Drosophila melanogaster: one gene and its partner. The protein of the gene in region 2 purifies or fractionates together with the protein of the main gene of each other region. This does not show direct contact. Each region holds a gene or a part of one and is shown on either strand. Other genes may lie near its edges.

What was found.
Region 1: the proteins of kel (region 2) and hts purify together in Drosophila melanogaster (affinity purification with mass spectrometry, with the first as the bait; one study listed by BioGRID). This does not show direct contact.

The regions. Positions count from the first base shown.
Region 1 is NT_033778.4:19,421,703-19,426,621, reverse strand, and holds the start of hts (hu li tai shao), read left to right. Parts: upstream 1-1,718; 5' UTR 1,719-1,799; intron 1,800-2,507; exon of another isoform or gene 2,508-2,824; 5' UTR 2,825-3,028; intron 3,029-4,919. Other genes in the region: CalpA (Calpain-A), read right to left, coding at 231-275, 404-577. UniProt on the Drosophila melanogaster protein: Required for assembling actin at ring canals in developing egg chambers. Probably interacts with other developmental proteins involved in nurse cell/oocyte transport through the ring canals. Important for normal neuromotor function.
Region 2 is NT_033779.5:18,134,840-18,139,723, forward strand, and holds the start of kel (kelch), read right to left. Parts: upstream 3,245-4,884; 5' UTR 3,093-3,244; coding exon 2,638-3,092; intron 1,137-2,637; coding exon 735-1,136; intron 1-734. UniProt on the Drosophila melanogaster protein: Component of ring canals that regulates the flow of cytoplasm between cells. May be involved in the regulation of cytoplasm flow from nurse cells to the oocyte during oogenesis. Binds actin.

The DNA of each region.
Region 1 (4,919 bases), on a different chromosome or scaffold from region 2:
TACATGCTATTAGTGATATGAATCTAACAAAATTGATGAACTTGATTAAGAGTATTATGTATGTACACGATAAAGTTGTGTAATGGAGTTGTATAAACGATGATGCGTTTTACACTTTACATGCGAAAGAAAAAGAACACAAGGACAACACAGTACGACACTTTGGCAGCGCATTATCCTTGGAATGGAATTATGTCAATGCCATTACGATGACGGGAGTAGGTACTTACGTTCCCATAGTACAACGTACTATTACTTTGAGATTGCAATGGTTGCTAATGAGTGGAATGTATATGTATTTGTTAACATGCATATGTAGATTTCAATGGATTGTTTTCTATGTTTGTTTAGTATAGTATAGCGCCCTATAAATAACTGTTGATAACCGTGTGGGTCAACTTACAACTCTCATATTCTTGATGCTGGGCAGAACCCTCTTGGTGTCGGCCTCCTTCTTGATGAAGATCTCGTTGATCACCGATCCGACCACATCCTTGGCCGCTCCCATTGCAGCCTCACCAGCTGCATTGAGGAACTCCTGTCCCGCTTGCCTCAAGAATCCCCTCAAGTCGTCCATCGTGCAGATATCTGAAAATATATGTACATATATAGTTTAATATCAGTTAGCAGTGTAAGGTGCCGCCTCAGATTAAAAACCCATTAATAAATATTTATTGTTCAAACATTTGATGACTAGTTAGCAACATCCAATATTTTTTATATCGCCCATATTTACTTATAAGCCTCGCGGTGGAATTAAAAGCACACCCAGAGACATAAATATGGTTTAACGAGCATTACAGAATCGTTAGTATTCCCAGTGTGACTGGAAGTCGGGCTAAATGAAATTACTTTAATTCACGCAAACTGAAATTATACTTTGGAGACAAGAATGTCTCGGTTCGCACCCAAATATAATTCAAATGTTTCTACATATACAATGCTGTATTTATACATATGTAGCCGCTATATATATATGCTATATTGTGTGACATCATTCGGAAGCATGAGATTCTCTAGTGACTCAAAGGGTGTGCGCCATTCGGGAGATTAAGCTTCGTTTTTTATCCATATTAAGCCGGGATATTGACATTGACCCATGGAACTACTACATATGTACGACACATATAGGGTATATATTTCTGTGACAATAGTAAATTGGCCTTTAATTGGGGCGAAATATGCTAGATTGGCTGACCCATCTGTTATTGTATTTGCGAACATTGGTAATTCTACGGCGAAACCCAAACAGGTTTGGTAATTAATGCATTCTTCTGGCCTGGCTCATTCCCGTGACCACCATATTTTCGTAAAGAATAGTATATTCGTCATAGGCACTTGATATTTCTAATACTATATATATTTGCCCATTTTCCAACGGACCTTGATTGGTCGAGAGAACGATTTCCGAATCGAATCACGCACTTTCACTCCCCAAAATCACAGCACAACAATAAAGTAACGGAACCACGCACCTTCACCGCACGGAGATATTTACTCACTACAAATATTTATATCTGTAGCTCAACACCTGACTGCTATCGAATGTTTTGGTATTTATTTTTATCGAAGTATTTTGCCGAAATTTGTGATTTGCCAGCCCTATTTCAATGTAAATATATCGATAATCGCCCGATTTTACTGAAAAATATTTCGATAAGAGCATCGATATTTCAAACAAATATCGACCCATTGACATGCGTCAGGTTTGTCCATCCCTAACAAAATCGTAGTACGAAATATCGAAAACGAAACACATCACGCGGGCGAAATTTCGTGAAGTTCAGCATTTACAAATTGTAAGCAGTGGTTTTATCGAACCCATTGACCAATTAGTGGGCTTCTAAAATTAGTGATAGACTTTATTAAATGAAACGAGAAAATAGAGGCGAATACACCCGTACAGCAAATTGACCATCGATTTTTTCACGGCATTGCCGGTGACGAGAATGCGACGCCGTTCATACACACACACGCACGGACACGAATGTGTGTATATGGCGCGGCGCTTGTGTGTGAAAGTGTATTCGTATAAATAATATGACATAATCGACGTGTGCGGCTTAATTGACATAGTTTTTGTGCGAAGAATACCTAAAAGTGCGAAGAGAGCGCCAAAAAAGGCGTTTTTTGTTTGTGGTCAAGGTGGCAAAAAGGACTTGCACCGCTATTTTCCCCTGCGCTTTGCTCCAAATATTCGTTCCTCCCCATACACTCTCTCGCACACACACAAGCGTGTATATTTGGGCGTTGCAGGATGAAGAACTCTCTTTCTCTCTCCCACTTTCCTTCGCTCTCTTCTCGTATTCTCTTGAACACTTTTGCGCAATTTGAGTGATTTGCAAGGCAAACTAATGCTTTTCGATTGTTTACCGAATTTAGTTAACCCCGTTTGGAAGCCAGTTTGTCTGGAAGTTACTTCAGTTTAGTTGTTTTCAACATCTCCACTTGACGTTGCCTAACACTGCCCGCCCTCTCTCTCTCGGCTTCTTTGCCACTGTCCGTGCGCAGTTCTCTTTTGCGCTTCATTCGTGCTCTGCCCGTCGGACGTGTCCGTACGATTTTGGATTAAGTTCTCGTAGGCAATTCAACTTGAAATATTTATTCGCTGCGGTGCAACTAAAATTTAATTCAAAGAATTAAAAGTGCTAAGTGCTGTTAGGAGCGGCAATTTTGCAAAAAAAAAAATATTAACAGTTATTTGGTGTAGTGCAAGAAGCCCAAAAGAGAACAAAATTATTTATTTTAAACATATTGCATTCAAGGCAATAAAAAGTTAAATCTATTAAAATTTTCTACCCTCTCCCTCCCCTTTTATTGATAGTCTCCCTCTGTGGCGTATGTGTGTTTGTACGAATTAGCGGCTGAAAACCAAAAACCGAGGTGCGAGAGCGAGAATACATTTATAAAAAACGCGTGCGTTTCTCCTCTAACACATACAGTGAGTGTGACCGTTGTATTTGTGACCTGTGCCTGTGTTAGCGGCCACTGGAGGATCAACGAATTTAAAAGAATACTAAAAGTACCGGTGAGTATTCTTGCATCTACCGGATGATGTGTTATAATCCCGTTAAATAGTGAATGTCCCCTCGTGCCCTGCATTCGTTTTAACCGTTATGACGATGAGCGGCAATTCGGCCGGTGACGCCATCTTTTGTGCTTCTCTAATAAGTGTTGTTTTTGTTTTTTGGGTTTGGTCAAGCTCACGCAACACGGCGTGTGTGAGTGAGTAGTGTGTCTATTTTGTTGTTATGCTTCATAGACAGTGGCGAAACTACAGATTATTATTCAGGGGTCATAAATGTCATTTAAGATCAAGAACATATTATATTTAAATTTATCCGGAAATATGAGCAAATGTTTAAGGTGTAGCACCACATTGACCCCCATTCAGACGCCACTGTTTGAGCTTCTAGTTCTAGCCACTTTTCTTCTCTCTTTCTCTTTTTTCGGGTGGGTGTGATTGTGTGTGCGTGTGCTTTTCCTTTCCATATGATTCATGCTTCTTTCTACCTCCGGCTTTCTATGCGCTTGTCAGATTAAAAAAAAAACCCATTTTCCAATTCTCGTCGCTGATTTTATTCATCTTTTATTTGGCAATTTGTTGCGAATGCCACTTGCAAATCTCTAGCCGTGTGCCTAATGCACTTGGGCAATAAATCCGCCTGCTGGCGCGCATCTGTGGGCAAGTTTCATGACCCACTTTTCCTCCTTGGTCTCTCGCCTTTCAGCAAAGTAAATAGTGAAAAGCAGCAACAAGTGATAAACAGATTTGTAAATATTGAAAACTTGTTTATGCCATTTGTCAGTGCAACCCAATGCCTACAAAATAGACTTTATAGGTATCGGAGGTAGTTCTTGATACTCAGTCAGTTCGATTTTTAAATTTTTTGTTGTCATTCAGAGCCCATCTTGATATTTCTGTAATTTATTGTAATCTTGAACGAATAGGAATTGATAACCTTTTACTTTAATTATTCTTTAACCCAATTCAATGCGCTATGCTTAAATGAAACATTACGCTTATAGAATTTAATATAATTTAAATTAGCAATGTTTCCTATAAAACTTTGTTTTATATATAGCCTTCTATAGATGTTCTTATGCAAGTCATAGGAGTTCGATTGTGTGTGTGCTCTCCCGCAATCTTATCAGAACCTTCGCGCTGGTTACGTTTTCTTGTTAGATTGCTGTTTCTATACAAGTACCTACATATCCACATTACAACAAGCCAACAACATTCCCAATTTAAGTTATAAGGAATTTCTCCTTTGCCACCAACTAACTACCTACCTATTTACAACATTCTTCGATTTCTATTACCTTACTTCCTGTTCTATATACTCATCATATCAAATTCGAGCATTCCATTTGCCTTAGCTACATATTTTGCGATACATGACGTCATTTCGCACACATTGCTTATAAAAAAGGTAAAAAAATAAAATAAAAATTTGCTCTTTTTGTTTGCTGGCTTTTGTTGCTAATTCGAATTTACTCATAGAAATACATGGGCAGTGGGCTTTATTTATTCATTGCTTATGCTGCCTCCCCCTTTATCACCCCTTATCAAGCTTTTCACTTGTTCCTCTTGCTCTGTTGTCCGTTTTCAATTCGCAAATTAGACGTGACTCGTTGGTTGAGGGTTTCAATTGAGGTTTTTTGCACACCGCAAGTTGCATTTAGAGAATTTTCGAAAATCGTTGAGGCATTATTTGTATTGAATTCCATTTGCACTACGAATACTGAAAAGGTGAAGCAGACTCAGTGTAAAAAGACAACAAAAATAATACAAAAACGATTGCTTCCGCTAAAAAAAAGTGACACATAAAAGTATCTACACAGAAAAAAAAACGAAATATGATATAACCTAAACAACATAAAGTAAAGTACGAAATCTTTACGGATTGGAAAATTCT
Region 2 (4,884 bases):
AAACACAAGCAGTTAGTAATGGGGCGCAAGGAATGAGAGGAGTGGGCTAAGTAAATTTAATTAATCGCAACCGGTTCAATGGTTTATATTGCACATTTGCTTTCGGTTTTGCGTCTGTTTACTGTTATATAAACTTAATAATTAACTAATTTTGTTTCTGCCTGATGAAATCAATGAGAACTTATATAATTCTGATACTTTGGTTATTACTAATTCAGTAGTTGAATTCGAAAATATAATTAATATAAGATTAAATTCGTGATCTTATGGAAACCCAAAATTAGCGACTTCAAACAGATGCTGGAAGACACCAATGCGTGACTGTTAAACTATTTAAATTTTGATACATTCCAAACACACCTAGGAATTTAATCGTTTTTATAATATAATTAAAAATCCTTTTTGTTGAGTCTAAGGAACTTTAACTTGACACATGTTATTAAATGTTACTATAATTATTAAAATATCTGATCCCATTAATCGATTCAATTGATATTGTTGTACGGCAGCTTTCTATCCTCAATAAATAATAAATAAATAGTCACTTCACTGGAATTTAAATACGAATTACTATCCGTAGATATAGAACAAACTAAAGTGAGTCTTCCCAATATACATGCTCTAAAAGTGAACACTGAACAGATACAGTAATGGATTCCTATCTGTAAACAGGCAAATCAAAACAATTTTATATTTGTCTGCCCATACTGCGTCATCACAATCTAGCCACTTACTTGAAATGCTGCTCGATGTAGGTCTCTGCGTAATTGAGAAGTTCCACGCAGGCATGAATATCGGCAAACTCCCGGATGCCGAGGCAATTACTGGCATCCAACTGAGTTTGCAGGAAGTCGCAGCAGGCATCTCGCACATCCGTGAGCTGGAGCAGGTTGGCGGCGGTCAAGAGGACTTGCACGTTATCCTCGTTTACCTCCACCGTGGCAGTGTATACGTAGTCGATGAGCAGCTCCAAGGCCCGAGCATCGACACTCTGGAGGGTGATCCTCGCCTGCCGCGACTCCTCGAAACTGGTGAACATCGCATAGAAGTACGGACTGCAGGAGGCCAGCACCATGCGGTGAGCGTGGATCTCCACATCGTCGGCCACCAATATCACATCACAGAGCTGTTTTTGTCTGTTATAGGTAAAAATATATATATATCAGATTTGATACATTTTTTTGTACGCAGTAAATTGGTTAGTAACCGTCATGTATCGACAATATTGAGACTTTGAAATCCACTAGCAATAGATCGTTTTGATTGCCAAATAAACAGTTTAAAAGCGTGCTAAATATCTTCAAGGCTGGTATGTATGTTTGTAAACAAAAGTGCTTGAATTTTTTCAAGAGGAAAATATTTTGTTTTGTAAAAAGAGACGGGGATGCTATTAACTGTGCAAATTATGGCGCCATTAAATGATGATGACTACTCGAAAAGACTAAGATCTTTTGTCTTCAAAATCGTAAGGTGTTATAATTATAACCCAATAAAAAAAATCTCATAGAATATACACCTCACGAAATATTTGTGTGATTCAATTCCCAATCAAAAAGCAATCCACATTACAACGCTCGGCTTACTTTTTGGGTTATACCACATTCACTTTCGCGCCGAATACGATATGATTGGTCCGAAAAAAAAAACTCGTTTTATGTAAGCTACCAATAAATTTTCCATACGCCCAGTAGTTTTCCAAAAAGTAAGCAAAGGCGGAGACGCGGAAGCGGAATCGAAATGCGATTCGAAAACGAATATCATTTTTGGCCGCAACCAAGTTCAAGGTCGTGGCCCAATGCGAAACCCGAAGGCGTAAGCAACTCATCATAATAAAAACTAGACAATAATTAATGCGAATGGCCCCACGACAAAAGCGGCGGCAAATATTCGTTTATACATATGTAGTGTGCAAACACAAATATTAGCAACGGCCAGATAAACAAAGCGAACTGCGCAAATATGCGAGAGACGATCATCTGACATTTTCAGAGATTTTATTTTCGCATCTTGGCCCAAATCTCAAAGCTCGAGAGCCAGTCGGTCCACCTGTTCCCGTCGAACACGCAGGGATTGAATCATGCGCCTTTGTCCGGGAACAGAGGAGATGAGTTTATAATAGAGTGTAGTTAGCACAGTTCTATTTATATTAAGTTGAGGTAGGTCGTCATATTTAACAACTGAAAGTTTTAGTGGTAGAAACTCAGATCAGCTTGTTTTGTCAAGGAAATAGTAACTGGGAAATAGCTGACACCTTTTTAGAACCTGAACGAACGTTCAGCTGGTTTGCTGTTGAGCAAACAAATGACATTTGAAACATTTTTCGAACCGTTGTAGGTGTGCTTATTTACATAATCAGGCTATAAAATCACATAGATCTAATTCTGCATATCATTAAAAGTCCTATGTGGGTGCTGTGTGTTCTATTCTCCAGGGCAGGTACAAAATAACCAATGTTCTACCTAAGGTTTTTAAAACCTCTCACAGGTAGGAATTAGGATATAATACTATTTGTGGATCTAAATATACTGCCTTAAGGTCTTTAGAAACCCTGGCTACTTCTTTATGATGCTTAAGGACTTAACCAAATTTTATAGTCGTACGAACTGATCCTTCGACAGGATCTCGTGCCATCCTTACTTTCTCATCTCGTTCATGGCGTCGAAGGAGCGCGCCGTATGCTGTTCATTGCTGTACTGCCCCACAGTGCCGCGCTCCTTGCCATTTGGCCGCTGGACGTGCTTCTGGGAGCTCTCGTCCAGGGAGTTCTGGCTGGCGTAGCGCAGAAGGCAGCTGCCCCGCTCCAGGCCACTTCCCTCGGCGGCGGGATTCTGATGGTGGTGGTGCTGCTGCTGTTGCTGCTGCAGCAGGCGGTTGCGCTGCTGCATGGCTGCCACGCCCACTGCGGCACCTAGTCCGGGCGGTGGCGCCACGAACTCCGCTCCCGCTCCGCCTTCATTCTGTGCTGGTTGTTGTGGGTTCTGACCCTGTTGTTGTTGCTGCTGCTGCTGGTTGTTGTTGTTGCTGTTGCCATTGCTTAGGTTGCTCATAATACCGATCGTATATTTGGTTAGCAGCGCACTCAGAGCTATCATCCGAAACGGATCGGAAACGGAAGTCGCAGCGAATCGAAGGTGCCTCGCCTGGTCCGAAAAAACAAACCGAGGTGGTGAAAAATTGTACACTTTTTGGACGCGACCAGAGCAGTGTGACCAGCCTCGGGTTGGTCGCAAGTTACCACTAGCGATGAATACTCATCGATAGTCCGATAGGCATTTTCAACCAGTTCTCACTGAGCTGGCTTTGTTTCCAACTATAAAATTAATGATAAAGTCATTTAATTTTTGAATTTTTGTAATTCACTTGAATTACATCTTAAATATGACCTCTCCCCTTTAATTTTTATTTATACGTACGTTTCAAAAAGTGTGATTTTTAAATTGATATACAAACTAATATTCCACATTTACCTAAACTTAAAAAAAGCATACCTAATTCATCTTATAAAAATATATAAATAAAATTGCAAAAAGATTACAAATATGCGACACAGAATTCATTAAGATTGCATATTCGAATTCCATAAAAGAAAGTAAAAAAGGTTTAGTTCAGCATAATCTTGATAGAATATCTATAGATATTTTATAGATATAAAATAAAATAAATAGAAATCTATAGATTTTAGTTGATTACTCTCATTTTATAAAGAATTCACGACTTTATAATGAAAATAACGAATGAGTTAAACATTCATTTGTTAAAGATATTAAAATACATCAATCATTTGGGTTGATTATGATTCCACACTTCTGATTCAAAACACACTTTGAGATTTTTTCTAATATCTTGATCAACTTTATTTGTTTGACTCTTTTTTCGATTTTGTTTTTGAATATTGATACGCATGCTCATCAACATGTGAGATATGTAAAATACATTAAATAGGTATTGGAAACAACTGCTTATTGAATGTTTACGAATAACAGCAACCACCTAGGTAGGAATACATGATTTATAATTCATTATATTAATATAGCTACAGCTTAATGCGAAAATCGGTAGTATTTACAAATGCTCTACACGTGTACAACTGACGGGTTTTTTCTTTTTAAACAAAGCACTCGCTTGCGAACGAAATCACTTCGAATAAATAAATAAAGTATATTCATAAATAGGCGAAAATTACATTTGGAAATTTGGCTAATGAGAGAGTTTTACACTAACTAAGCTGCATTCGTATCTCGTATTTACACGTAACAGTAACACATCATTTAGATTCCATACTTCAAATAAATACAATGAAATATTACAAGAATACCAGCGATTACGAAAAGCTCGATTGGCCCTTCTTTTTGCAATACTTATGTGTGTAGGAGAGAGGGTTGCTTTAGATAATAATACTTAGTTTATAGTACAATTAGCTAACTGCGATTTCGATTCTACATTCTACCAGCTCGCTTTCAAGAGTGCCACAACTCAAAAATCCGTCCGAGCTGCATTCCAATAGGTGAGATATATATGGTGAACATTTGGTTTTTGATCCATGACAGTCTTGTAGTAGCGAGCTAGCGATTTTGTTATGTGGCTTCGCGTTTGATCTTTTAACTTATGGTGGCGGCACACGCTGCACTGGGATTGTCTCAGTTTGAGTTTTGGTTTCTGGGTTCTGTTTGCCCCTCCGTCCACGTCCTGATCCTCAGGAGGAGTTGGAGTGACGCTCCGGCGTGGCGACAGTCTTCTGGTAGCAATTCAGATTGGCCGACATCCGACCAAAGGCGGCTGCCATGCGGTTGGGCAGCCTGCTGAGGTGCTCCTGAAGATTGGACGATCTGGATGAGGACGGAGCCGATGGGCCCGACGCCGTGGTGACCTGCTGCAGCTGGGCCA